Callithrix jacchus: one gene and its partners. The protein of the gene in region 4 purifies or fractionates together with the protein of the main gene of each other region. This does not show direct contact. Links are inferred from orthologs where the notes say so. Each region holds a gene or a part of one and is shown on either strand. Other genes may lie near its edges.

The links.
Region 1: the proteins of MRGBP (region 4) and ACTL6A purify together in Homo sapiens (co-immunoprecipitation; 4 studies listed by BioGRID and IntAct, with this or other methods). This does not show direct contact. The link is inferred for Callithrix jacchus from reciprocal best matches to the Homo sapiens genes MRGBP and ACTL6A.
Region 2: the proteins of MRGBP (region 4) and EPC2 purify together in Homo sapiens (co-immunoprecipitation; 4 studies listed by BioGRID and IntAct, counting the BioPlex papers as one, with this or other methods). This does not show direct contact. The link is inferred for Callithrix jacchus from reciprocal best matches to the Homo sapiens genes MRGBP and EPC2.
Region 3: the proteins of MRGBP (region 4) and VPS72 purify together in Homo sapiens (co-immunoprecipitation; 5 studies listed by BioGRID and IntAct, counting the BioPlex papers as one, with this or other methods). This does not show direct contact. The link is inferred for Callithrix jacchus from reciprocal best matches to the Homo sapiens genes MRGBP and VPS72.
Region 5: the proteins of MRGBP (region 4) and MBTD1 purify together in Homo sapiens (affinity purification with mass spectrometry; 4 studies listed by BioGRID and IntAct, counting the BioPlex papers as one, with this or other methods). This does not show direct contact. The link is inferred for Callithrix jacchus from reciprocal best matches to the Homo sapiens genes MRGBP and MBTD1.
Region 6: the proteins of MRGBP (region 4) and RUVBL1 purify together in Homo sapiens (co-immunoprecipitation; 6 studies listed by BioGRID and IntAct, counting the BioPlex papers as one, with this or other methods). This does not show direct contact. The link is inferred for Callithrix jacchus from reciprocal best matches to the Homo sapiens genes MRGBP and RUVBL1.
Region 7: the proteins of MRGBP (region 4) and TRRAP purify together in Homo sapiens (co-immunoprecipitation; 3 studies listed by BioGRID and IntAct, counting the BioPlex papers as one, with this or other methods). This does not show direct contact. The link is inferred for Callithrix jacchus from reciprocal best matches to the Homo sapiens genes MRGBP and TRRAP.

Annotation. Positions count from the first base shown.
Region 1 is NC_133516.1:7,806,214-7,809,713, forward strand, and holds part of ACTL6A (actin-like protein 6A), read left to right. Parts: intron 1-105; coding exon 106-212; intron 213-308; coding exon 309-398; intron 399-3,500.
Region 2 is NC_133507.1:81,621,339-81,624,838, reverse strand, and holds part of EPC2 (enhancer of polycomb homolog 2), read left to right. Parts: intron 1-2,003; coding exon 2,004-2,140; intron 2,141-3,500. UniProt on the Homo sapiens protein: May play a role in transcription or DNA repair.
Region 3 is NC_133519.1:11,082,130-11,086,070, forward strand, and holds the start of VPS72 (vacuolar protein sorting-associated protein 72 homolog), read right to left. Parts: upstream 2,801-3,941; 5' UTR 2,725-2,800; coding exon 2,608-2,724; intron 1-2,607. UniProt on the Homo sapiens protein: Deposition-and-exchange histone chaperone specific for H2AZ1, specifically chaperones H2AZ1 and deposits it into nucleosomes.
Region 4 is NC_133506.1:58,328,363-58,332,543, forward strand, and holds the start of MRGBP (MRG/MORF4L-binding protein), read left to right. Parts: upstream 1-1,381; 5' UTR 1,382-1,424; coding exon 1,425-1,572; intron 1,573-1,889; coding exon 1,890-2,011; intron 2,012-4,078; coding exon 4,079-4,160; intron 4,161-4,181.
Region 5 is NC_133506.1:115,168,035-115,171,534, forward strand, and holds part of MBTD1 (MBT domain-containing protein 1), read left to right. Parts: intron 1-1,655; coding exon 1,656-1,790; intron 1,791-2,374; coding exon 2,375-2,463; intron 2,464-2,677; coding exon 2,678-2,912; intron 2,913-3,500. UniProt on the Homo sapiens protein: Chromatin reader component of the NuA4 histone acetyltransferase complex, a multiprotein complex involved in transcriptional activation of select genes principally by acetylation of nucleosomal histones H4 and H2A.
Region 6 is NC_133516.1:74,067,474-74,070,491, reverse strand, and holds the end of RUVBL1 (ruvB-like 1), read right to left. Parts: intron 2,030-3,018; coding exon 1,938-2,029; intron 939-1,937; coding exon 779-938; 3' UTR 501-778; downstream 1-500. UniProt on the Homo sapiens protein: Possesses single-stranded DNA-stimulated ATPase and ATP-dependent DNA helicase (3' to 5') activity; hexamerization is thought to be critical for ATP hydrolysis and adjacent subunits in the ring-like structure contribute to the ATPase activity.
Region 7 is NC_133503.1:14,584,431-14,587,827, reverse strand, and holds the end of TRRAP (transformation/transcription domain-associated protein), read left to right. Parts: intron 1-785; coding exon 786-989; intron 990-1,074; coding exon 1,075-1,269; intron 1,270-1,788; coding exon 1,789-2,073; 3' UTR 2,074-2,897; downstream 2,898-3,397. UniProt on the Homo sapiens protein: Adapter protein, which is found in various multiprotein chromatin complexes with histone acetyltransferase activity (HAT), which gives a specific tag for epigenetic transcription activation.

The DNA of each region.
Region 1 (3,500 bases), on a different chromosome or scaffold from region 4:
CATTTTACCTGAAAAAGTTATTCATATAAACACAACCACGGAGGAAATTTGTTACAGGAAGTTTAGACTTAATGCTGTCTTAGCCTCGTTTCATGTGTCTCGTAGGCATTGTGAAATCCCCTCTTGCTGGAGACTTTATTACTATGCAATGCAGAGAGCTCTTCCAAGAAATGAATATTGAATTGGTTCCTCCATATATGATTGCATCAAAAGTGAGTAATTATTGACTTTTCTTTGTAGAACTTACCTCCAGCTCCCCACCCCTATGAAATGAACTCCATTAACCCAGCATCTCTTGGTCCTCTCAGGAAGCTGTTCGGGAAGGATCTCCAGCAAACTGGAAAAGAAAGGAGAAGTTGCCACAGGTTACGAGGTCTTGGCACAATTATATGTGTAATGTAAGTAACTTTATTCTCTTTACAAAAATGTTGTAGACTTTTTCCATGAGTATTAAAAAAAAGTTAGATATAGGCTATAAATCCTTGAGTAAAATATGGGTACTTTATATTTTCAAGCACTTTATTTTTTTATTACTAAATATATTTTGAAGATTAAATAGAACATGATTTCAGGGTCACGCTCTATATTTTTAATGATATTTTACTAAAAAAAGAACTTTGCTAGGGGAGGCATGCTTTTCATATTTGCCAAACAAATATCTCTACAAATTACTACATATTCACTTGGATTACTGTGGTGAGACCTGGAAGGAATTTTAGTTTCATGCTATTCTTCTGAACATCCTTGGCTGAGAAATGGTTTCAGGTGTTCTAGAGACTTACTAGTATGTCTCAGCTCGTTCTGTTTCCCAGCATCAGTCAGCCATATGAAAAATGTGTTTTTGTTCAGAACAAGGAACCCGTGAGAGATTCTCTTTACTAAAAACCCATCTCTGAACATATGGCTTACTGATGGGGAAGAGGTTAGTAAAACAACCTGACACCACAGATACAGTGTAATTTCTTTTTTTTTTAAAAAAAAAACATATTTTAGGATCAGGGTACACAAGCAGGTTTGTTATATAGATAAACTTATATCACGGGGGTTTGTTACACAGATTATTGTCTCCCAGGTACTAAGCTTAGCACCCAATAGTTACTTTGTGTACTCCTCTCTCAGGGAGGCCCCACTGTCTGTATTTCCTTCTTTGTGTCCATGTATTATCATCATCTAGCTCCCACTTGTAAGTGAAAGCGTGTGGTATTTGTTTGATTTCCTGTTCCCGTGTTTGCTGAGGATAATGGTCTCCGGCTCCATCCATGTTCCTTCAAAGGACATGATCTCATTCTCTTTTTTTCACTGCATAGTATTCCATGGTATGTATATACTGCATTTTCTTTATCCAGTCTTCCACTGATGGGCATTTAAGTTGATTTTGTGTGTTTGCTATTGTGAATAGTGGTGCAGTGAACATATGCACACATGTGTCTTTATGATAGGCTGATTTATGTTCCTTTGGGTATAAACCCAGTAATGAGATGGCTGGGTCAGATGGTAGTTCTGGGCCAGGCATGGTGTCTCAGGCCTATAATTTGAGAGGCTGAGGTGGGTAGATCCTTTGAGCCCAGGAGTTTGAGACCAGGCTGGGAAACATGGCAAAACCCTGTCTCTACAAAAACATAGAAAAATAGCCTAAGTTGGTCTGGGCGCAGTGGCTCATGCCTGTAATCAAGCACTTGGGCAGCCGAGGCAGACGGATCACCTGAGATCAGGAGTTCAAAACCAGCCTGGCCAACGTGGTGAAACCCTGTCTGTACTAAAAAATATAAAAAAATTAGCTGGGCATGGTGGTAGGCACCTGTAATCCCAGCTACTCAGGAATCTTAGACAGGGGAATTGCTTGAACCTGGGAGGCGGAGGTTGCAGTGAGCCAACACAGTGCCACTGCACTCCAGCCTGGGTTACAGAGTGAGATTTCTTCCCAAAACAACAAAAAAATAAAAATCAGCTAAGTGTGGGGGTGTGCACCTTGAGTCCTAGCTACTTGGGAGACTGAGGTGGGAGAATCACCTGACCCCAGGGAGGTCGAGGCTGCAGTGAGCTGTGATTGCCCCATTGCACACTAGCCTGGGCAGCAGAGTGAGACCCTTATCTCAAAAAAAAACCCCAAATGGTAGTTCTGTTTTTAGCTTTTTGAGGAATTGCCACACTACTTTCAACAATGTTTGAACTAATTTACATTCCCACCAAAAGTGAATAAACGTTTCCTTTTCTCTGCAACCTTGTCAGCAGCATATGTTATTTTAATTTTATTATTATTGTTTTTGTTTTTTTTTTCCAAGACAGAGTCTTGCTCCGTTGCCCAGGCTGTAGTGCATTCATACAATCTTGGCTCCCTGCAACTTCCGCCTCCACCTCCTGAGTTCAAGTGATTCTTCTGCTTCAGTCTCCTGAGTAGCTGGAATTATAGGCACATGCTGCCACACCCGGCTAATTTTTGTATTTTTAGTAGAGATGAGGTTTCACCATGTTGACCAGGCTGGTCTCAAACTCTTGACCTTGTGATCTACCCTCCTTGGCCTCCCAAAGTGCTGGGATTACAGGTGCGAGCCACCACACTCAGCCCTATTTTTTTTGCTTTTTAATAACAGCCATTCTGACTGGTGTGAGATGATATCTCATTGTGGTTTTAATTTTCATTTCTCTGATGATCGGTGATAATGAGCTGTTTTTCATATGGTGTTGGCCGAATGTATGTTTTCTTCTGAAGTGTCTGTTCATGTCCTTTGCCCACTTTTTAATGAGGCAGTTTGTTTTTTCTTTGTAAATTTGTTTAAGTTCCTTATAGAAGCTGGGTATTAGACCTTTGTTAGAGACATAGTTTGCAAATACTTTCTCCACTTCCGTAGGTTGTTTACTCTGTTGATAAAAATTAATATATAACTAACAAAAGAAAGTAAGAGTAAAATTATGAGTCATAATTTACTATGAGAAGGATTATATCTACCTGACAGGTTTTTAAAAAATTATTTCATATATATATATATATATATATATATACACACATATATATTTTTAAAGACAGGGTCGGTCACATGTGGTGGCTCACATCTGTAATCCCAGCACTTTGGGAGGCTGAGGTGGGTGGATCCCAAGGTCAAGAGATGGAGACTATCCTGACCAACATGGTAAAACCCCGTCTCTACTAAAAGTACAAAAATTAGCCAAGTTTGGAGCTGGGCACCTGTAATCCCAGCTACTTTGGAGGCTGAGGCAGGAGAATTGCTTGAACCTGGGATGTGGAGGTTGCAGTGAGCTGAAATTGCACAACTGCATTCAAGCCTGGATGACCAAGCAAGACTGAAAAAAAAAGTAAAGATAGAGTCTCGCTCTGTCACCCAAACTGGAGTGCAGTGGTGTATTTGTAGTTCAGTGCAGCCTCAAACACCTGGGCTCCTCCCGCCTCAGCCTCCTAAAGGACTACAGGTGCACGCCACCATGCCTGGCTAATTTTTTTATTTTTTATTTCTTTTATATTATTTTAATTTTATTTTTTTTGA
Region 2 (3,500 bases), on a different chromosome or scaffold from region 4:
ATTTTATCAACTGACTTAAAAGATTTTAGAAAAGAAAAAATTCTCATTCTCATTTCTCAATTTTGAAATAGTCACTGAAAGTATATGTGCTATTTGGTTTATTCCTCACTTAATGTTAATCACTGTGCCTCTTACCTTTTCATCAGAATGTACAGCTTAACTCTGGACACACTTGACACTGGGCTTAAGGACTGTTGTAATAATACCAGATTCCAAGTCCATTTCTTTTGAATTGATATACTGTACACATAGGACTTAAACACATTTATTTGGGTTTAATTTAAGATTTTTCTTTCTGTCTTTGTATGTAATAAACTATTTTTCATCTCTTTCACCAAGGTTTTCAAACAGCTGGAAATTCATGAATACTTCACATTTTCATTTGAGTTTGAAGATTGTAAATTTAGAATTTAAAAAATTTTTTTCATTTAAAAATAGAGCACTTTCAGTGAATTTAACATGTGCAAAGAAAGACATTTGATTTTGTTGGTAATTCAGTAAGATAACTAATATGTACTTCAAAAATAAAGGTAATATTAAAAGTTTAGAGTGAACACTGTAATAGCCCCAAGGTGTTGAATCTTTTAAAAACAAAATTGCTATCTAAGAACTGTTTTCCCCTTACTGTCCAATATAAATTCTAATGATAATATTGTGGAACAGAAGTGAGAGTATATCTAAAGCTTTGTTCATCTCTGGGGCGTAACTCCTTTTTCATAGAAAATAGACTAGTTATATGTCTAGTTTACCATAAAAAAATTTTTTTAATTATTCATTTGTGATTCTACTCAACAGAAAACTTGGGAGAGTTAAGTAAGCTAGATTGAGGCTGTAGTTGCCAATCTAAACTCCTTTAGGGTGATATTGGTTAGGTCACTCAGTTGCATGTAAAGGTTGATTCATTAATTGATATTTCCTGTGTCTGTCATTTTTTCCCAACTACGTTCCAAGACTTTGTACCAGACATCCTCTTATTCATTTGTTTTCCTCTATATTCACTATAACTCAGTGCAACATTCTGCATTATAGTAGATAGCAAATATTTGTTGATTGAAATAATTGGGAGAAAAGAGGGCAAGCAATCAAGAAAATAGAGCAAAATTACTCTGAAGTACATGTATTCTCATGTCATTTAATTTTTCTTGACTCTTAATATTAATGTACTGACTTCCATGGAAATGGTTTTGTGTTTTCTAAATCAGTTTATCAGTGATTTACTTAAATATCAATTAATGAAATTTTGTTTACATTTCTTTGAGAAAAATGTTTTTTGTAACTTAGCTGATCTGTTCAACAGAAGTTGTAGATGTCTTGTTTTCATTTGAAACACACTTTTAACACAGTTGGTCAAAATAGAATTTATTATATCTGAGGATATATAGTATCTTCAGTTTTCTGAATACTTGTCTGATTTCTAGCCCATAATTTTATGGATGGATTTATTTTAGGCATTGAATCTATTGGCTGAAACTGTGGTTTATGGTTATGTTAGATGAATGTTGTTCCTTACTCTGATTTGTAATCAGAGAATAAAGTATTTTCACCTCAGTGTTATATGAAACCAGCAGTAAAAATCATTTACAGTCTTGGAGATGGTCCTGCTTTCTTATTAGGGCTATAACTTAATCATTATTATTATTATTATTATTTACATGAATAAATCAAAGTTTTTCTCATTACATGCTCATCATATGAAAAATTAAGAGTGGTATCAAAGATACTAAGTCTGAAAAAATGGTAAAATATTTATGTTAGAACTCTATTATTCAACAAAAACTACATTTAGGCACTTTTGTTGGCATATGATGGAGATCATAGATACAAGTGTTACACCACACTTGCTGAAAGATTTGCCATTTTCATTAGATTATTTTCTGATAAACCATACTGCGATTCGTAATTGCTTTCATCTTAATTGTGGAATAAGTTTATATTGTATTCTGCTTGTGTTATTAAAAATTCTTTAAAATGTACTCATTTCCAAAATTCATATTCTTTACCAGTAACAGGGGGTATCACAGAAGAGCAGTTTCAGACACATCAGCAGCAGTTGGTTCAGATGCAAAGGCAGCAGCTTGCCCAACTTCAGCAGAAACAGCAATCTCAGCATTCCTCGCAACAGACACATCCAAAAGCACAGGTAAACTTGTCGTTTCATCATAGTTATGTCTGTTTCTTTCATCATTACGTAGCTTTGTTCAGTTTTAGTCAAGTTCACAGAAGATAATCTTGGTTTTGCCACTGTTGATTTGAGGGATCTAACCCTCACTCTGTCACCCAGGCTGGAGTGCAGTGGCGCAATCTCAGCTCACTGCAACCTCTGCTGCCCAGGTTCAGGCAATTCTCCTGCCTCAGCCTCCCAAGTCAGGGAGGCGCCTGCCACCACACCCAGCTAATTTTTGTATTTTTAGTAGAGATGTGGTTTCACCATCTTGGCCAGGCTGGTCTTGAACTCCTGACGTCGTGATCCTCAGCCTTCCAAAGTGCTGGGATTACAGGTGTGAGCCACTGTGCCAGGCCCTAACCTGAATTTCTTTTCAGTTAATATACGTAATTTCAAGTGGCTAGCTTATAAACTAGTCTTCTAATATTTTGAGAAGAGTCCTAGAGCCAAATATGATATTTTTAATTTTTTTCTTGAAGGGTTGTTGAGAATTTATAGAACTAGTTATTTAGTTGTAAGAATCATTCTCCACTGCCACTCCCCCAAATATTTTTTTTTTTAAGATACAGCTTTCCTAACCACTTTCTAAACTATGTGTTTAAGTGCCGTGTGGCTGTGCGCCATGAGCTGGGTAGTAATTCACTTGAATTGTGAAATACATTTAATAGCATAACCCCTTGCTGTTGTGAATCACATTTCCCTATAGAAGAAAATTGCAGCCAGGCACGGTGGATCACTTGCAGTCAGTTGTTCAAGACCAGCCTGAGCAACATGGCAAAACTCTGTCTGTGCTAAAAATGCAAAAATAAGCTGCTCATGGTGGTACATGCCTGTAATCCCAGCTACGTGGGAGGCTGAGGCATGAGGATCGCTTAAACCCAGGAGGTGGAGGTTTCAGTGAGCTGAGATTGCACCACTGCACTCCAGCCTGGGTGATGGAGTCAGACTCTCTCTCAAAAAAATAGAATAAAAGTTTTAAAAATGAAGAGGAAAATTGCCACTAGGGGAAGTTGTTAATAGACACTACTAAATAAAGATGCTAGAGATCAGAATAAAAATACTTAATAAAACTATAATTGCCAGAAGGAACCAGCCCTGCCATTACCTTGATTTTAACCCTGTAAGATTCATTGTGGACTTCTGGCCTACAGAGCTGTATGATAATCAGTTTCTGTTTTAAGCCACTAAAAATAATATTAAGAAATATATTTCAAATTTGAACCACCTGAAAAAATAAAGCTTGCATTTTAGATCTTAAGTTTTATTGCTCTATAATTCCAAAACAATAATCTCTAACCATATCTATAATTCTAATAACTGAGGTTTACTCAATTTT
Region 3 (3,941 bases), on a different chromosome or scaffold from region 4:
TCCTGGACTCCCAAAGTGCTGGGATTACAGGCATGAGCCATCGCGATGGGCCCCTAAATTCTGTGGGTTCTGTTTCTTTACCACCATGCCCCCTTCTAGCCATTCTCATTACAAAGTAAGTAATCTTTATTTATTTATTTTTTTTTAGATGAAGTTTTGCTCTTGTTGCCCAGGCTGGAGTGCAGTGGTGCGATCTCCGTTCACAACTTCAGCCTCCCAGGTTCAAGTGATTCTGCCTCAGCCTCCTGAGTAGCTGGGATTACATGCATGTACCACCACACCCAGCTAATTTTATATCTTTAGTAGAGACGGGGTTTCTCCGTGTTGGTCAGACTGGTCTCTAACTCCCAACGTCAGGTGATCTGCCCACCTCAGCCTCCCAAAGTGCTGGGATTACAGGCATGAGGCACCTCGCCCAGCCATAAGTAATCTTTCTAAGGAACAAATTTCATCATGGAACTCTGATGACTCATCTCAGTCCTCTGGATGAAGAGCAAAACTCCTTAACATGGCTCACAAGGCCGCCAATGATGTGGCCCATGCCTACTCCCTCCAGGCTTATCAATATTTAGTCTCCTTCATGCTCTGGAGGATGAGAGTAGACTTGCAGGTCCCAGACAAAGATCTCAACTTTACCTACTCTACCCAACCTGCTCTGTGGACTAACCTTTCTCCTCCTGCTTTTCACCAAGCCAAGGCCTACTTTTCAAACTCCTCAGCTTAAACATCATCTCTCCAGGGATGCCTATCCTGATTAAAAACTTTGGCTCACATGTATTACCTTTGCACTCTATCTTACCCCTTGTTTTAGTCCTTATCACACAGTATTTTTTTTTTGACACACAGTCTCTCACTCTGTCACCAGGTGCCAGGCTGGAGTGCAGTGGCACAATCTCAGCTCACTGCAACCTCTGCCTCCAGGGTTCAAGCAATTCTCCTGCCTCAGCCTCCCAAGTAGCTGGGACTACAGGCACATACCACCACATCCAGCTAATTTTTGTATTTTTAGTAGATACGGGGTTTCACCATGTTGGTCAGGATGGTCGAGAACTCCTGACCTCAGGTGATCCGCCCACCTCGGCCTCCCAAAGTGCTGGGATTACAAGTGTGAGCCACCCACACCCAGACTTTTTTTAAACTTTATTTATTATTTATTTATTTATTTGAGACGGAGTTTTGCTATTGTTACCCAGGCTGGAGTGCAATGGTGAGATCTCGGCTCACCGCAACCTCTGCCTCCTGGGTTCAGGCAATTCTCTTACCTCAGCCTCCTGAGTAGCTGGGACTACAGGCATGCGCCACCGTGCCCAGCTAGTTTTTTGTATTTTTAGTAGAGACGGGGTTTCACCATGTTGACCAGGATGGTCTCAATCTCTTGACCTCGTGATCCACCCACCTCGGCCTCCCAAAGTGCTGGGATTACAGGCGTGAGCCACCGAGCCCGGCTATTTATTATTTATTTATTTTTTGAGATGGAGTTTCATTCTTGTCACCCAGGCCGGAGTGCAATGGCATGATCCCCGATCACTGCAACCTCTGCCTTCTGGGTTCAAGTGATTCTCCAGCCTCAGTTTCCCAAGTAGCTGGGATTACAGGTGCGTGCCACCATGCCCAGCTAATTTTTTTATTTTTAGTAGAGATGGGGTTTCACCATGTTGGTCAGGCTGGTCGAGATCTCCTGACCTCAGGTGATCCGCCCGCCTCGGCCTCCCAAAGTGCTGAGATTACAGGCGTGAACCACCGCGACAGGCCTATCACACAGTATTTTAACTGACTGTTAACCCAGCCAGTTACCCCACTGGGGTATCGAGTATGTAAGGACAGAACAGTGTTTTTAATATTCTGTTTCCCTAGAAAACAGAGCCTAACACAACCTATCACCAATGGCATGCTCTGGGTTCTCAACACATTTAATAAATAGGTAGATTCAACTAATAAAAATTCAGCAAGTGGCAGCCCAGTCCGGACACCTCACGCATAATGTTGAATAAAACAGACCGTCTCTAACTTTATAGAGTTTACAACGCAATAGAAAAGTATAAGCAAGTAAGCAAACCAAATCTAATTACAAGCTGAACTATGTCCTGTGAAGGTAATAAATGGGGACACTTGTCAGGATAGTCAAGGAAGGGTTATCTTTCGGAGAAAACATGTACACTGAGACTTGAAGCTGAAAAAGGAGTGGGCTAAGCTCCTCTACCTTTGGAGCAGTTCCTTCCCGTGTCTCCGATGAATAACCCAGCAGTAGGCCAACGAGTACACACCGAGCAGCTGACTACTGCGTGTGCCTCGCATATGCTGGACGTCAGTAGGACAGTGGGAGATGCAACCAGAGAAGTACACGGCAGGTTTCCGCCGTTCTCCATAGTGCCTCCTGAGAGCTTCTCCCTCCCAGGCCCCTTTGACCCCATCCAGAGCTCTCCCTTCTAGGCCTCCACAAACTATCCGCTCCCCCGCCCCCACCCACACACTCCGATTCACCCAGCCATCTCGAATATCAGCTCCCAGAGCTCCTCTCTACTCCCCGCCCTCTTCTTTATCCCGGGTTGCGTCCTTCAGGGCTCCTCTTCGCTTCCTCCCCTCCCTTTTCCCAGGCCCGGATCTTGCCTCTGTGAAACCCCCATAAGTCGTCTGGTAGAACTCATCTTCTTCCTCTGCCTCCAGAAGCCCCGAAAGCCGGTTCCCAGCGGTCTTCCGGGGGGCCCGGCCTCCAGCCAAACTCATACCGTCTACTTAGACCTCGCGGCCACCTGCGACCCCTCAACAGCGCGGTTCTGGAAGCTCGACGCTCAACACCACTACCTGCGGGTGGCCGCCAGCGGCGGAAGTTGGGCGTTTACAGGCAGAAGTAGCAGAGTGTCGAGAGATTTCTAGTCTCTGCCTCTAAATCCTCTTTACTCTTCAGCCTGTCCTATGCCTGTGCGGAGCCTCCAAGCCGCTTGCCTTAGCACCCAATAATCTGCCTTGCTCAATGAGTCCACTTGGTGACACAATGGCCCCCCACAACCCTAAGTCAACACATTTTATTTATTTTATTATTTATTTTTCTTTTTTTAAATTGCATTTTAGGTTTTGGAGTACATGTGAAGAACATGCAAGATAGTTGCATAGTTACACACGTGGCAGTGTGATTTGCTGCCTTCCTTCCCTTCACCTATATCTGGCATTTCTCCCTATGCTATCTCTCCCCAACTCCCTATCCCCCGCCGTCCCTCCCCTATTCCCCACAACAGACCCCAGTGTGTAGTGCTCCCCTCCCTGTGTCCATGTGTTCTCATTGTTCAACACCCGCCTATGAGTGAGAACATGCGGTATTTTCTCATTTCTGTTCTTGTGTCTGTTTGTCATTATTATTATTTTTTGATGTCGAGTCTCTCTCTGTTTCCCAGGCAGAGTTTGGTGGCGTGATCTTGGCTCACTGCAACCTCCACATCCCCGGTTCCAGCAATTCTCCTGTCTCAGCCTCCCTAGTAGCTGGGATTACAGGCGCCCGCCACCACGCCCGGCTAATTTTTGCATGTTTAGTAGAGACAGGATTTCACTATGTTGGCCAGGCTGGTCTCGAACTCCTGACCTCAGGTGATCCACCCTCCTCGGACTCCCAAAGTGCTGGGATGACAAGTGTGAACCACCGCACCCGGCCTATTTTATATTTATATTTATTTATTTTTTAAGAGATGGGGTCTTGCTATGTTGTCCAGGCTGGAGTGCAGCACGATCCCACTACTGATCAGCAAGGGAGTTTTGACCTGCTCTGTTTCCGAGCTGGGCCAGTTCACCCCTCCTTAGGCAACCGGGTGGTCCCCCGCTCCCTGGAGGTCACCATATTGATGCCGAACTTAGTGCGGACACCCGATCGGCATAGTGCACTACAGCCCAGAACTCTTGGGCTCAAGCAATCCTCCCACCTCAGCCTCCCGAGTAGCTGGGACTACAGGCGC
Region 4 (4,181 bases):
CTCCCACCCGTCACCCCAGCACTTCGGGAGGCCGAGGCGGGCGGGTCACCTCGGGTCTAGGAGTTCGAGACCAGCCTGGCCAACACGGTGAAACCCCCGTCTCTACTAAAAATACAAAAATTAGCCGGGGGTGGCGCACGCCTGTAATCCGGCTACTCGGGAGTCTGAGGCAGAAGGATCGCTTGAACCCAGGAGGCGGAGGTTGCAGTGAGCCGAGATCGCGCCGCTGCACCCAGCTTGGGCGACAGAGCGAGATTCGGTTTCAAAAGCAAACAAAAACGAAGCCGGTGCCCATCGCACTGCCTCGCGTTTCCCTCCTCCCCGGTCACTGGCAACCGCGCGTGGGCGTTCTGGCTCTTCCTGTGAATGGATTCCCTCGCCGTGTATTTCGGTGTCTGAGTTCTCTGACTTAGCGTTTCAGCCGCACCCACGCTGCTCTCTCCCTTCCCGCTGCACGCGGCTGCGCAATGCGGGTGTCCGCGCTCCGTGCGCCCCTTGCGGGTTCCGCCCCGGGCTTGGGGGCGACGCTCGCCTGGCGGCTGCAGGAGCTACACCCTGGGGGCGCTGGGGGCGGGTCCCGGCCTGGACCTGCGCGTTCTTCCACCGCCGCTGGCGCCCGCCTGGGAGCTGCCGCCTCCTAGGGAGACGGTTCCATCGTCTGAGGAACAGCCAGACTAGATTTTTTTTTGAGATGGAATTTCGCCCTTGTTGCCCAGGATGGAGTGCAGTGGCGCGATCTCGGCTCACTGCAACCTCCGCCTCCTGGGTTCAAGGGATTCTCCTACCTCAGCTCCCGGAGTAGCTGGGATCACAAGTGGCCGCGCCACTACGCCTGGCTAATTTTGTATTTTTAGTAGAGACGGGCTTTCACCATGTTGGTCAGGCTGGTCTGGAACTCCAGACCTCAGGTGATCCGCCCGCCTCGGCCTCCCAAAGTGCTGGGATGACAGCCGTGAGCCACCGCGCCCAGCCCATCTGTATATCTTCTTTGGAAAAATGTGTATCCAAATCCGTTGCCGTTTTATAGTTAGACTCTTTATATAACTGAGTTATAAGAATTATTTATACCTTCTGCCAGGAAGTTCCTTATTAATACGGGATTTGCAAATATTTTCTCCCAGTCTGTGGGTCGTCTTTTCACTTTTGTGACGGTTTTCTTTGTAGCGCAGACTTTTTCTTTGGATGCAGTGTTCTTTCTGCCGCGTTTCTAAGAGAAACACGTTTGAAGCACCCCGGCGCGGGGCGGAGCAGGGCCGGGTCCGGGCGGGAAACGTCCCCGCCCTCCGCTGCGCCTGCGCGGACCCTGGCGCGTGAGTCCTAGCGCGTGCCCGGCGGAGCGCGCGCACGCCGCCCAGTGCGCCTGCGCGGAGCCCGTGGCCGCGCCTGCTCCCGCTGGGGGCTTCTCGCTCGGCCGCGCCGCGGCCATGGGAGAGGCCGAGGTGGGCGGCGGGGGCTCCGCGGGCGATAAGGGCCCGGGGGAGGCGGCCACCAGCCCGGCGGAGGAGACGGTGGTGTGGAGCCCCGAGGTGGAGGTGTGCCTTTTCCACGCCATGCTGGGCCACAAGCCCGTCGGTGAGCGCCCAGGCCGCGGACGCGCGTGGGGGCGGGGCGGGCAACCGGCGGGGCGGGGCAGGGCCAGCGCTCGCGACACCCGCGCCCCACGCTCCCCGCCACACCCCGCCCGGGACCCCGCCCCCTCCCGTGGGCCCCGCCCGGGGCCCCCGCCCCTCCCACGCAGCACTCAGCCCTGCCCCCAGCAGCCCCTCCGCTTCCCCGGCCCCGCCGCCTCCCTCCGCAGCCACCCTTGCCCCTCCGTTCCCCGGGGCCGCCCGTCGCCTCCGTCCCGTCCTCCCGGCTCACCGGTTGCCCCGCCGCCCCTCCTGCCGCAGGTGTGAACCGACACTTCCACATGATTTGTATCCGGGACAAGTTCAGCCAGAACATAGGACGGCAGGTCCCATCCAAGGTCATCTGGGACCACCTGAGCACCATGTACGACATGCAGGCGCTGGTGAGCCCGACCGCCCTCCCTGTGCCGCCGGGTGGGGGCGCGAACCCGCACGCCGCTCTCTGAGGGTCAGCCTGAGCTGGGCAGAGGCCCCTCCATGCCTGCTGGGGTCTGCTGGACGGAGCTGCGGGCTACTTGCGGTGGCTCGAGAGATTGTCATGGGAAGCACAAACCAGTGCGAGCGGCTGGTCAGCTTTTCAGGCGGCCTGCATTTGACTGGGTGCTGGACCAGAGCCTCCCGGGAGATGACTGGGCAGCTGAGACTCGGGAGGGAGGGAGGGAGGGATGCAGAGGCTGGGGCCCTTGGCCATTGCCAGTCTCCTGGGAGGCCCCAGAAGTGCTTTAGGCAGACGATGACCCTATCCGAGTCACACCAAGGCGAATTTGGTGGCTTCTGTGGGAGTTAGACAAGTGGTGTTCCAATCCTCACAGAGCTCGGAGCTGGCGTGTGACGGGCTAGCAGGTGAACTAGGAAGCAGGGTGGCCAGAAGAGGTAGGGGGTGCGGCTGGAGAGTGGGGTGGGGGTCGGGGCAGGTCACCAGGAGGAGGGGGACCTCTGCTGGTGGAAAGAGAGTCTGTGCCTGCCCTGATGGACTTAGGGCCACGCCTGCCCTCCCAGTAAGATGTGGGCACTGCCGAGGCAGGGAATGGTTGCCACTGGACGAGTGAAGTGGGTTTCCTTGTCATAGCTGTAGAAAGCGGACAGAGATGCCAGCTGTGCAGAGGGCTGTGTAAGGAGAGGAAGTACACCCAGCCCTGGAAGGGCCCTGGGAGCTCACACCCCTGTGGCTGCCACGTCCTGCATTGAGGATGTTCTGAGCTGGTACAGCATTGGGTGACCAGTGCCTAGTGGCCCAGGCGCAGCTGACCACTAACCTCACAAGGTCCTCCCCACTCCTGCCTAGAGCGTGTCTGTCATCGAACTCCTGGGGTCAGCAGCTTCTCAGTTGTGGGAAAGGGCGCCTGGTCCCCAGATACCTCCCACACTGGGATTTAGAGAGATGGGTGCAGCTCTCTGCCTGTGTCTGGGGAAGACAGACAGCTCCAAGGCCCGTAATGTCCCCTGGGGCTCCGGTGCTCGCTCAGATGAGCACAGCAGCCCACATGACACTCAGGGAGCGCATGAGACCACCAGGCCTCTCAGCCCCAGAATGGTGGCCCCATGCCTTATTCCTTCAGTAGCCTGTGGCATCAGTAAGGACTGGGCAAGACCATGGGGCTGGCACCTTCTCTGGACCATGGCACTTCTGTGTGGCTGAGGTCCGAGTCATCCAGACTTAATGAAATACAGAGCCTCTGGAGTCCACCCGAGAGGCTGACCAGCAGGCCCAGGAGATTTTGAGGAGCACAGATGTGGCCCGACTGCCTGCTCCACACAGCACCCAAACTGCCAAGCGGAGCCTCTGTCTCCTGAATCCACCTCCTAGTCCAGGGCTCTTCTGGCCAGCTCCACTTTCCCTGGCTCCTGGTCTCCCTCTGGTCTGTGTGACCGAAGGAGGGTAGTGCCTGGCAGGCACTCGGGGCCCTGCCCCACCTGCTCTGCCTGTCTCCCCATTCTGTAACTGTGGCATCCCAGCCAACACCCTTAGTGTCCGTGGGCTCCTGCCACACGGAGGGGAACTTGAGGCACCTGCAGCCTCTCCCTGGGGCTGTCACCATGCCCTCTGCATGCCGCCTTGGGGGAAGCAGTCTCATGGTGAGACCACAGGCCGTGGAGTGCAGGCGGTGCCCACAGGGTGCGTCACCAGCGCTGACCCATCCTCAGGGCCCCCCTTAGTGATGCCGCCCTGTTGCTTCTTCCTGACTCCTGCGGCTGCTTCCACTGGTCCTGCCCTCCCTGAGTCTCTGGAAAGCCCAGCCACAGCTGGTGCTACCCACAAAAAGAAATGCCCTTTGCCCAGACCCCACCTACTGCGGCCTCAGCACAGCACTGTGCACTCACTGGCCACCCCCAGGTGGCTGTGATACGGCCACAGTAACTTGTTGCAACCACATTTTCTGTTTCTTTTTTTTATTTTCGGCCTCCACCTCGCCCCCTCCTGTTTCTTAAACCAAACTCTTGGACATCAGCACGAATCTGAGATTCTTCCGTTCCCGAATTCAGAGAGGAACTTCGTCCTTCCAGAAGAGATCATTCAGGAGGTCCGAGAAGGTGAGACACGGGAGAGGTTGG
Region 5 (3,500 bases), about 57 Mb from region 4:
CACCTCTTGCAAGAGTGTCCCATCTCTGTACTTAACTGTATTATCCAGGTCAATTCCCCATCTTTTTCTTGTAACATTTTCCCTGCTGTATAAGCATTCAGCAAATGCTTATTCTCTACACTGTAATTTAAAACAACAGCATATTATTTTTGTCCTGGGTGTTTAAGTTAGTTACATTTAAATAGCTCTTAAGATCAGTGCATTTACTGTCGAAAAGTTACTTCAGCCTTCCATCTCTGATTTTACATTTCTTGTTTATCTAATTGCATCATGTATCTTCTTTTAAGCCTCTTTAATCCCATTGTGGAAGTAAGCCTAATGTTAACCAGAAGCTAGAGTTCAGCAATAATTAGCAAACTCATAAATCGTTCTGTGAAATTACTGAATTTTAAAACTGAACGTTTAATGATATAAATTTTCACAGACATGAAAATGCTGACTGAACTTGGCTCCTAACCTGCAATACACATATATTGGCCCTTTTCTATTTCATTAAAGGCCTTAAATTAAATCTGAATCTTTTATCGTCAGAAAGTTTATAAAATTATAAATAGGATATATTACTTATTTTTTGTGCTTTCCAAGAACAAGGATTCCTATTAGCCTAGGACATACAGTTTTTAACTCATTTTACATGATTTTCTTTGTGTTTATTAAACTTTTTACCTGGCATATTCAAATCTCATTTCTAAATACATAGGACAGAAAAATTTAGATTCTTAAAGTAGCCACATTGAAATTACCGAGGAGTAATTGTCCACCTAAGCTGCTGGATAAAGCAATTTCTTTGAAATATACTTTAAGGTCAGACACAGTGGCTCATGCCTGTATTCCTAGCACTTTGGGAGACCAAGGCGAGCAGATCACCTGAGATCGGGAGTTCAAGACCAGCTTGACCAACATGGTGAAACCGTGTCTCTTCAAAATACAAACATTAGCTGGGCGTGGTGGCACATACCTGTAATCCCAGCTACTTGGAGGCTGAGGTAGGAGAATCACTTGAACCCAGGAGGTGGAGGTGCAGCAAGCCAAGATCATACTAGTACACTCCAACCTGAGTGATAGAGCAAGATCCTATCTCCATAAATTCATATATGTAATTATATATAATATAAATAATACATATTTATGTTTTATATTATATATTATATAATATATATGTTATATACATAATTATATATATATATCTGTAATCCCAGCTACTCAGGAATGTGAGGTAAGAGAATCACTTAAACCCAGGAGGTCAAGGTTATAGTGAGGCAAGATCGTGCCTCTGCACTCCAGCCTAGGCAACAGAGCAAGACTCCATCTCAAGAAAGAAAAGAAAAAGAAATTATGGGTACAGTTGAAATACATTCAAGGATGCCATGCTCTGAAAACAGTTGAACTAACTACACTGAACAAATGCTTCTCAAAGTTTGGTCCCTAGACCAGCAGCAAGAGCATCACCTGAGGACTTGTTAAAAAGGCATATTCTCAGTTCCACCCAAGATCTACAAAATCAGAATCTCTGGAGTGGGACCCAGCCATCTGTCTGTTAACAAACCCTTCAGGTGATTCTACTGCAGATAGACACTAGTTTGACAACTGCTATCAGATGCTCTACTGTTTTATTTAATTTTATTACTGTGTAGTGATTTAATTCTGGGTTTCAGGTTACAACGCCCTTTTAAGATATGAAGGATTTGAAAGTGACTCTGCTCTGGACTTTTGGTGCAATATATGTGGTTCTGATATCCATCCAGTTGGTTGGTGTGCAGCCAGCGGAAAACCTCTTGTTCCTCCTAGAAGTAAGTAGCTCATTTACCCTTACTGTAATTTTATATATGTGTACTTTAATGCTGTTTTACACATAGTAATGTTAAAGTAATATGGAAATTAAAGACCTGGCATAGGGACTCATGCGTGTAATCCCAGCACTTTGGGAGGCCAAGGCAGGTGAATCAGTTGAGGTCAGGAGTTTGAGACCAGCCTGACCAACCAACATGGCGACACCCTGTCTTTACTAAAAGTACAAAAATTAGCCCGGCATGTTGGCGTGTGCCTGTAGCCCAGCTACTCAGGAGGCAGAGGCAGAAAAATCGCTTGAACCCAGGAGATGGAGGTTGCAATCACTCCTGAGCTGAGATTGCACCACTACACTCCAGCCTGGGCGACAGAGCAAGACTCCATCTCAAAAAAAAACAAAGAAATTAAAATAATTTTTTTTGGTGTCAAGCAGCCTTTTGCTGGCAAGACCTATACTTGCTTTCTGTATATTTACTTTTCAGAATGTTAGTAGTCTGACTTGCAAGGAAATTTGTTACCTTTTTTAAAACAGTTTATGAAGCACTTCTTTTTTGCAAAGTGTAACTGGTTATTTCTTCTATTTTAGCTATTCAGCATAAGTATACAAACTGGAAAGCTTTTTTAGTGAAACGACTCACTGGTGCCAAAACACTTCCTCCTGATTTCTCACAAAAGGTAAAAACAGGATCTTATAAAGACTGAAGAGCTCTATAAAACAAGGGTAACAAACATTTTTAAAGAATTGGTTTAATTTTGTGAACCTGATGATCTGTGTTATATTTCAAGCACATTCAGTATTTTTTACAGTATAATACGAAAATTCCTTGTAGACATTTGTCACAAATTTCGAGCAGTTTTTTTTTTTTTTTTTGTATTCTTTTGTTTTAAGGTTTCAGAGAGTATGCAGTATCCTTTCAAACCTTGCATGAGAGTAGAAGTGGTTGACAAGAGGCATTTGTGTCGAACACGAGTAGCAGTTGTGGAAAGTGTAATTGGAGGAAGATTAAGACTAGTGTATGAAGAAAGCGAAGATAGAACAGATGACTTCTGGTGCCATATGCATAGCCCATTGATTCATCATATCGGTTGGTCTCGAAGCATAGGTCATCGTTTCAAAAGATCTGGTAAGCACCTATCACAAGAACTCCTGTCGAAAGTATCATTGAGGTTGAATTATACTAGTTACTTTTCTCTACAGTATTGCGTAGATCAAACATAGTTGGTTTGGGATGCTTATTCAACCTTAATTAGTGGAGGTTCACACCATATTGGTGTCCTAGTAAATTTTTTTATACTCCTTCCACTTGTTCTCCAAACGAATGCACTTTTGGTCACAACTACAATTGTTTCTTTTATTATTCAGCCCATTTGAAAGATCTAAAGATACCTTTCCCTTTTCATTCAGTTTTAATCAAAACAGCGAGATTAAATGTGGTAGATTTAATACTAAGCACATGAAAACATACTTCTAAAGTTGTAATTCTCTAGGGAATTACATTAAAACTATGAGCATTAAAATTGGCTAAATGTATTTAGAAGCATATATGCTGCACATGTACGCTGAAGAGAGAAAAGACTATTAAAGGATAGTATTCATCCCAAATGTAGAAGGCATGTCTTTTTGCCATGTTTTATAGTGTGACATACTTTGAGAGTTTGAAGCCTTCAAAGAACGTGGTTTTTGGTCTTCTCACAAATGCTGACAGATTAGT
Region 6 (3,018 bases), on a different chromosome or scaffold from region 4:
AAAACTTGACCTCAGCCAAATGGTAAAGGTCACCATCATGTTGCTAGCATGTGATAAGAACCGCACATGATATGTGATGAAAACTGGATTTTACCTCTGAGGTCTTTCTTTCCATAATCCACAATCCCAGTCTACTCATGAAAAAAGCATCAGACAAAGCCCAATTGAGGGATGTTCTGCAGAATACCTGATTAGTCCTCCTCAAAACTGTCAGGGTCATCAAGAACATGGAAAATCTAAGAAAATGTCACAGCCAAGAGACATCTAAGGAGACATGACAACTACCTGTAATGGGGTATCATGGATGGAATCCTGGGACAGAAGAAAAGACATTAATTAAAACAGAGAAAATATGAATGCAGTATAATAATGCATCGGTATTGGTCATTCACTGTGACAAATGTGCTATCTGCTGTAACATGTTAACAATAAGGGAAACTGGGTATGAGATACATGTGAACATCCCTGTTGTGTGTTCACAATGACTCTGTACATCTAAAACTGTTCTGAAAAGTTTATTTTTAAAAAACTTAAAGAAGAGAGAGAGATCAAAATAACCTATGAAGATTTATAGAAAACACACCAGGTAAGGAAGGGTTCTTTACAAGCAACCACAGGAAAAGTTATGATAATTTAAAAAGAAATGCTTTCCACACTGAACTGACAGCACTGCAGACCACGCCTGAGTGGGACAGCAGCCCCAAGCCCAGGGGCGAGCTGTCCAGAACTGGGCCAGGCACACCTGGAGAGTCTCTTGCTGCTGAAAACCTCAGCCATCTCACTTCATGTACTTATCCTGCTGGTCAGCAAGAATTTTGGCGGATGACTTGGCATCATAGAAAAGCTCACTGATCTCCTCAACGTGCTCTTTCTCAATGCTGTCCTTCCCGTTGATTTTAGCAAGCAGGTTGGCCGGGGTCAGCAGCTGCACTGAGTACCTAGAGTGGACAGAGGCCAAGGCTGAAGTGAAACTGGGGCCACCAAAGGAAGCCCCTTCCCCCAAATCAGTAGGCAGCACTGGCACCAGAGGCAGTTCCAAATGCTAGGCTTGTGCTAGCTGTTGTGAACACAGAGAAGTGGAAACAAAGTTGTCACTTCTCAGAGAGCTGCAGTCACTACCCCATGAGAGACGGGCCAGGAGCCACGAACAAGACTTAAGTGCTTTCCCCAAATCTTTAGTACAGTCTACAAATTCTCTCCAATAGGAAGTAACGCCACTGCTACTGGAAAAGGACTGCAAACTTAGATGTATACAGGTGCCTAACAGATAGGGATATTTAACATGGCAGGGAAACGAAAACACGGCCAGCTGGAAGTACATGCCTATCGAAAGGCACGAAGACTCCGTCAATTTAAAAAGTCCCCCTTTTCCAGATCTCACAGCTTGCATCTCTGCCTTCAACCTCAGGAGCAAGAACTGACTCAAGGGATGTTGGGAAGGGCTGAGGACTGTGAAGCAATGATTTTACAATAAGTTAGGCCACTGTTAAGGACATGGTCTGCAGGCCCCCAGACATTTTTTATTTGCTTGATAAATATAATGGTTAAATAAAAATGTTAAAGATTTCCCAGGTCTCATAATATCAGCAGGAGAACAGGAGCCAGGGCCCGGGCTAATGAGCTGCCACATGGGCCCTGCTCTCTAGTTCTGTGCACCTTCTCTGCCACAAGAAGGCCCAGGGTCAAAGCACTCTCCACAAGAGGGGAGAATCTGCTGTAGGAAACAGGGAATTCGGCCTTACTCTACCCTGTTAAAAACCATCAGCTAGATCCTCTGCATTTGAAACTCAACTGCCCTGGCACCCAACACACCAGGAAGAGCAGATGGATATAGTACTGTGGCCTGGGAGGGGACCTGCCTTTATTGCCCAGAACGACCACAGCGAGGGCCCTGGCTGTGCTGAGGAGGCCCCGGTGGGCTCAGGGTACCAGCTCACCTCAGTGTGGTCTTGGTGCCAATCTCCCCCAGGTGGTTCAGTGCCTCCTCACTAATGTTGATTCCCTCCGTCTGGGCGCGGATTTTAATGATCTTTTAGAGGAGAAAAAAACACAATCAACAGTGACTGACCTCAAGCACCCCATTTCTAAAGTACTTTAAAGACAATGTCACTCAGTATTTCTCACTGTGCAGCGTAAGAGAAACCAAGACCTGGGCTGGTGGGCAGGGAGCCAACACCTGCCCAGCACTGCCAGCCCAGCACCTTCCAGGCATGTATGGCCCCAAAGTATGCATGAATGGCATCACGGCCAGTGTGCTGTGTTCAACTGATTCAGTGTGGCTGGCGCCTCAGGAGGTGTGTGGCTTCCCAGGTGGCTCACTCTTGACTCCACATCCTGACCTCCCCTGTCCCCAGACAGAGAACTGAGGCCTCTTCTAACCTGCCCTGGGCTCCCTCAAGAGCTCTAACCTTCCTCTCCAGCATGGGTACCACAAGCACTCAGGCAAGAGACATTTTTTATTTGCTTGATAAATATGATGGTTAAATAAATCAAAAAAGTTACTTTTAAAATTTACCAGGCCTCATAACATCACCAGGAGATATCTAATCTATCAAGAAGAGGCTGACGCTTGTTGCAGTTTGAAGATCTTCGTAGAGGTGGAGGGGAGGCAAGCTGGCGGCGGAGACACTGTAACATAGTGGACCAGGATCCTGCAGGCGCACCAGCACTGAGTGATAAGGGGCAGCCGGGATAATGATGTTGTGTGTTGTGGAGCTGAGATAACTGCAGGACTTCGAGCCGCATATAATACAGGAATTTTTCACTTTGGCAGCTTCGTAAACAAGATATCCAGAAGCCCTTGTTGAAATTAAAGCCATAAAAGCACACCCAGGGTAGAGGCCCAGGAGCTGGGAAAGACTGAGTCCCAGCTTCTGCCATCCAGGAGGGAGGAGAGCCAGAGGTTTACTGAGGTGGCCATGTCAAGCCTCACCTGTCAGCTCTCCAGGCCGGGACCCTGCGGGCAGGAGTTCCAGGGGTGGGGAGCCAGTCTCTGATGATCCTGGTTGGGGTTGGGGG
Region 7 (3,397 bases), on a different chromosome or scaffold from region 4:
CTTTAATTTCTAGCATTCTAGCATCAAAAGTTGATTTTGATGGGTTTTGGCAGCATGCTCACTGCTTGAGGAGCAGATTTTGGAAATCCTTGAGGTCTCAGAAGTGCTTCTTCCCATTTGACAGACGAGGAAACGAGCTGCATGTGTCGTGGGCGGCCTGCCTTGTTCTTGCCGGCGGAAGGGCATGCTTTCTCACTGCCATTCGGAGCATGGGGGTCGGACTTAACTGAGAAGAGACCCCCGGCCTATACCAGGTAGTCAAACAGGAGCTCCATTAACTCAGTAAACTCTTACCGAGTGGCGGTGTCTGCAGTGGTCTGTGAGTCTCCAGTCCAGAGATCAGTCTCAAGTGTGGTGTGTGTGGTCACAGCAGCTCCTTCAGTTTGTGAAGCATTTGTCTTCGGTATACAGTCTTGGTTGGAAGTGGCACTGCTGGTGTCAGCTGTTTTGTTGTGTTAATTGGTCTGAAATATTCTGTGGTCAGCAAGGGTCGAAGTGTTTCGATATTTACCTGCATTCTCGTCAGGTGTCGCGTATCAGGTAACAGGCTTTGGCGCAGACCAGCTGCATTGGTGCTTTAGAGGGGACAGCAGCAAACCCAGAGGGAAACAGAGCCATCTTGTGCCTCCTCGTGTTCAAATAACAATGCATGTGTCAAATCTCTCACTGGAATTTACTCTAGCTGCTAAGTTAAAGACTAATTGCAATTTGAGAGTTTTTGTTTTGCAAAAAAAAAAAAAAAAAGAGTGAGTTAGGTGGAAGTGTCATGGATCAATGTACTTCAGGTCCTTCGCGACATCCTCAAGGAGGTTCAGAGTAACATGGTGCCGCGCAGCATGCTGAAGGAGTGGGCGCTGCACACCTTCCCCAACGCCACGGACTACTGGACGTTCCGTAAGATGTTCACCATCCAGCTGGCTCTGATAGGCTTCGCGGAATTCGTCCTGCATTTAAATAGACTCAACCCCGAGATGTTACAGATCGCTCAGGTAAGCCGGTTTGAACAGCCAGATCCTCTCCTCGAGACGTCGCCTTTCTGTTGAAGTTCCTAAAGTGTCTCCTTCTGAAATTTAGGACACTGGCAAACTGAATGTTGCCTACTTTCGATTTGACATAAACGACGCGACTGGAGACCTGGATGCCAACCGTCCTGTCCCGTTCCGCCTCACACCCAACATTTCTGAGTTTCTGACCACCATCGGCGTCTCCGGCCCGTTGACGGCGTCCATGATCGCGGTGGCCCGGTGCTTCGCGCAGCCAAACTTCAAGGTGGGTCTCCGCATCATCCGATGACAGGCACAGGCCAGAGCCGCTCAGGTGCACGCACGTCACAGCCTTGCGGGAGCTGTTTATCTGCGTCGTGGGCTCTGCGTTTCCCACTGTGGCCAGCACCCCCATGGGTTACGTCCTTCTTTGCTGTGAGGGCAGGGGATGGTTTTCTCTTTGGTTCACTCTCGGCTGTAGTGCCTGGAACAGGCCGGCCCAACACTCAGCAGACACTGGAAGGCATCAAGTAAATAAGCAGATGGAGCCCCAGTTGCAGTGTGGCCGCCTGTGCCACTCAGGTTTGTGCTGCCCAGCTCCAAGGCCTTCTGGCTGCTGCTTCAAGTGGAGGAGGGCATGTGTCCCCAGTGGCTTCCCCAGACCGTCCTGAGGGCACATGGCCTGGCCCAGTGCTGAGGCTTGACCAGCCCTGGTGGCCCTGGGAAGCCGCTGTGGCTGAGCCCTGCCTTGTGAGGAAGCTGCCCTTGGTTCACCGCAAGTCCTCACGTTCTCTCCCTCACGCAGGTGGATGGCATTCTGAAAACCGTGCTCCGGGACGAGATCATTGCTTGGCACAAAAAAACGCAGGAGGACACGTCCTCTCCTCTCTCGGCTGCTGGGCAGCCAGAGAACATGGACAGCCAGCAGCTGGTGTCCCTAGTTCAGAAAGCTGTGACCGCCATCATGACCCGCCTGCACAACCTCGCCCAGTTTGAAGGCGGGGAGAGCAAGGTGAACACCCTGGTGGCTGCGGCAAACAGCCTGGACAACCTGTGCCGCATGGACCCCGCCTGGCACCCCTGGCTGTGACCGCAGCCGCCTCAGCCACCCAGAATGTGAAGGGAGCCCCAGGCTCTGAGCCCGCGGCTTTTACCACTTCTCTCTGCCTCGTTCATTTTATTCACGAAAGTCCTGGGTTGCAGTCACTTTCCTGATAGTTTGTGTGTGAAAGAGGGAGCTGGTGACGACTGTGGGCGAGGCGGTTAGAAATGGTAGAGCTGGAACTTACTCCAAGCTTTTAAATGATCTTTTAAGAAACCAGGACTCTCCAGTCTAGAATTTCTGGGTGAGTCCCTTTTTTATGGTGTCCTCCCTCTGTGAATGTACAGGCGGAACCGTACGGGCAGCTCCCAACCGTCCATTTTTAACACCTCACAGCAACTTCGTGCTTTTGTACAGACCTTTGTAACAAGTGTATAGAAAACCCATTTTGCTTGAGACACAGGAGATGATGAACTGATCGTGCTGGTTTTTCTGAGCACAGAGTTTTAGGTTGTACGCAGCCCGCCCTGGGATTCTCGCTGAGCATTCGGCGTGGATCCATGGGTCGGGTCACCCTGCGGGAGCGCCACACCACATCCACCTGGATTCCGCTGGTGGAGACAGAACTGAGAGTCTGCAGGCAGCTCCTGCGATTTTTATTTCTGGCTCTTTGGATGTCTTCTAGACGTTTACTATCATTGTACCTGAAGAAAAATCACTTTTACCTTCCTAATTTAAAAAGACAAAACAGAAATGTAAGTTCCTTTGCTACTTCAGTCTTTCTGTTCACATTTTTATAAATCTGAGCATTGAGAATGTTCTATCTAAATTTGTACAGTGTGATTTTTTTTTAGAATAAATATTTTATAAAAGGGTTTCTTGTCCATTATTTATGTTAAAATGGAAACAGCTTGTTTCCATGAGAGGTTTCTTCCCTCCCAACGTCCCTCAGCCCCTTGGGAAGCAGAGGCCCCAGAGGCAGCGTGGGCTCCTCAGGGTAGCCTCTTGGTGACGGTGTGCACTGCCCGGGCAGGCACAGTGCTGCTGTGATCACAGAGGAAGCTGTGACTTGGGGCATGGGAAGCCAGCTCAGAGCGTATTCAGTCACAGCGACGAGTAATGGCGGCCCAACCTCAGCAGTGGGTCAGGGTGCTGGGACCCAGAGCCCTCAGCTGTGTTGATGTGTTCCAGGCTGCTGCCATGTAACATGCATGTGTGGAGCGTGTGCAGAGTGTGCCTGAAACATGCCCAGAGGCTCAGCATGAAGCACTCTGCGCCCAGCTCCACCTCCTCCTTGTGCTTCATCCAGTGTGTACCATGGCCACGCCTGCCCTCACGTGGGAGGGAAAGTCCCCGAGGAGCATGTGCCCTC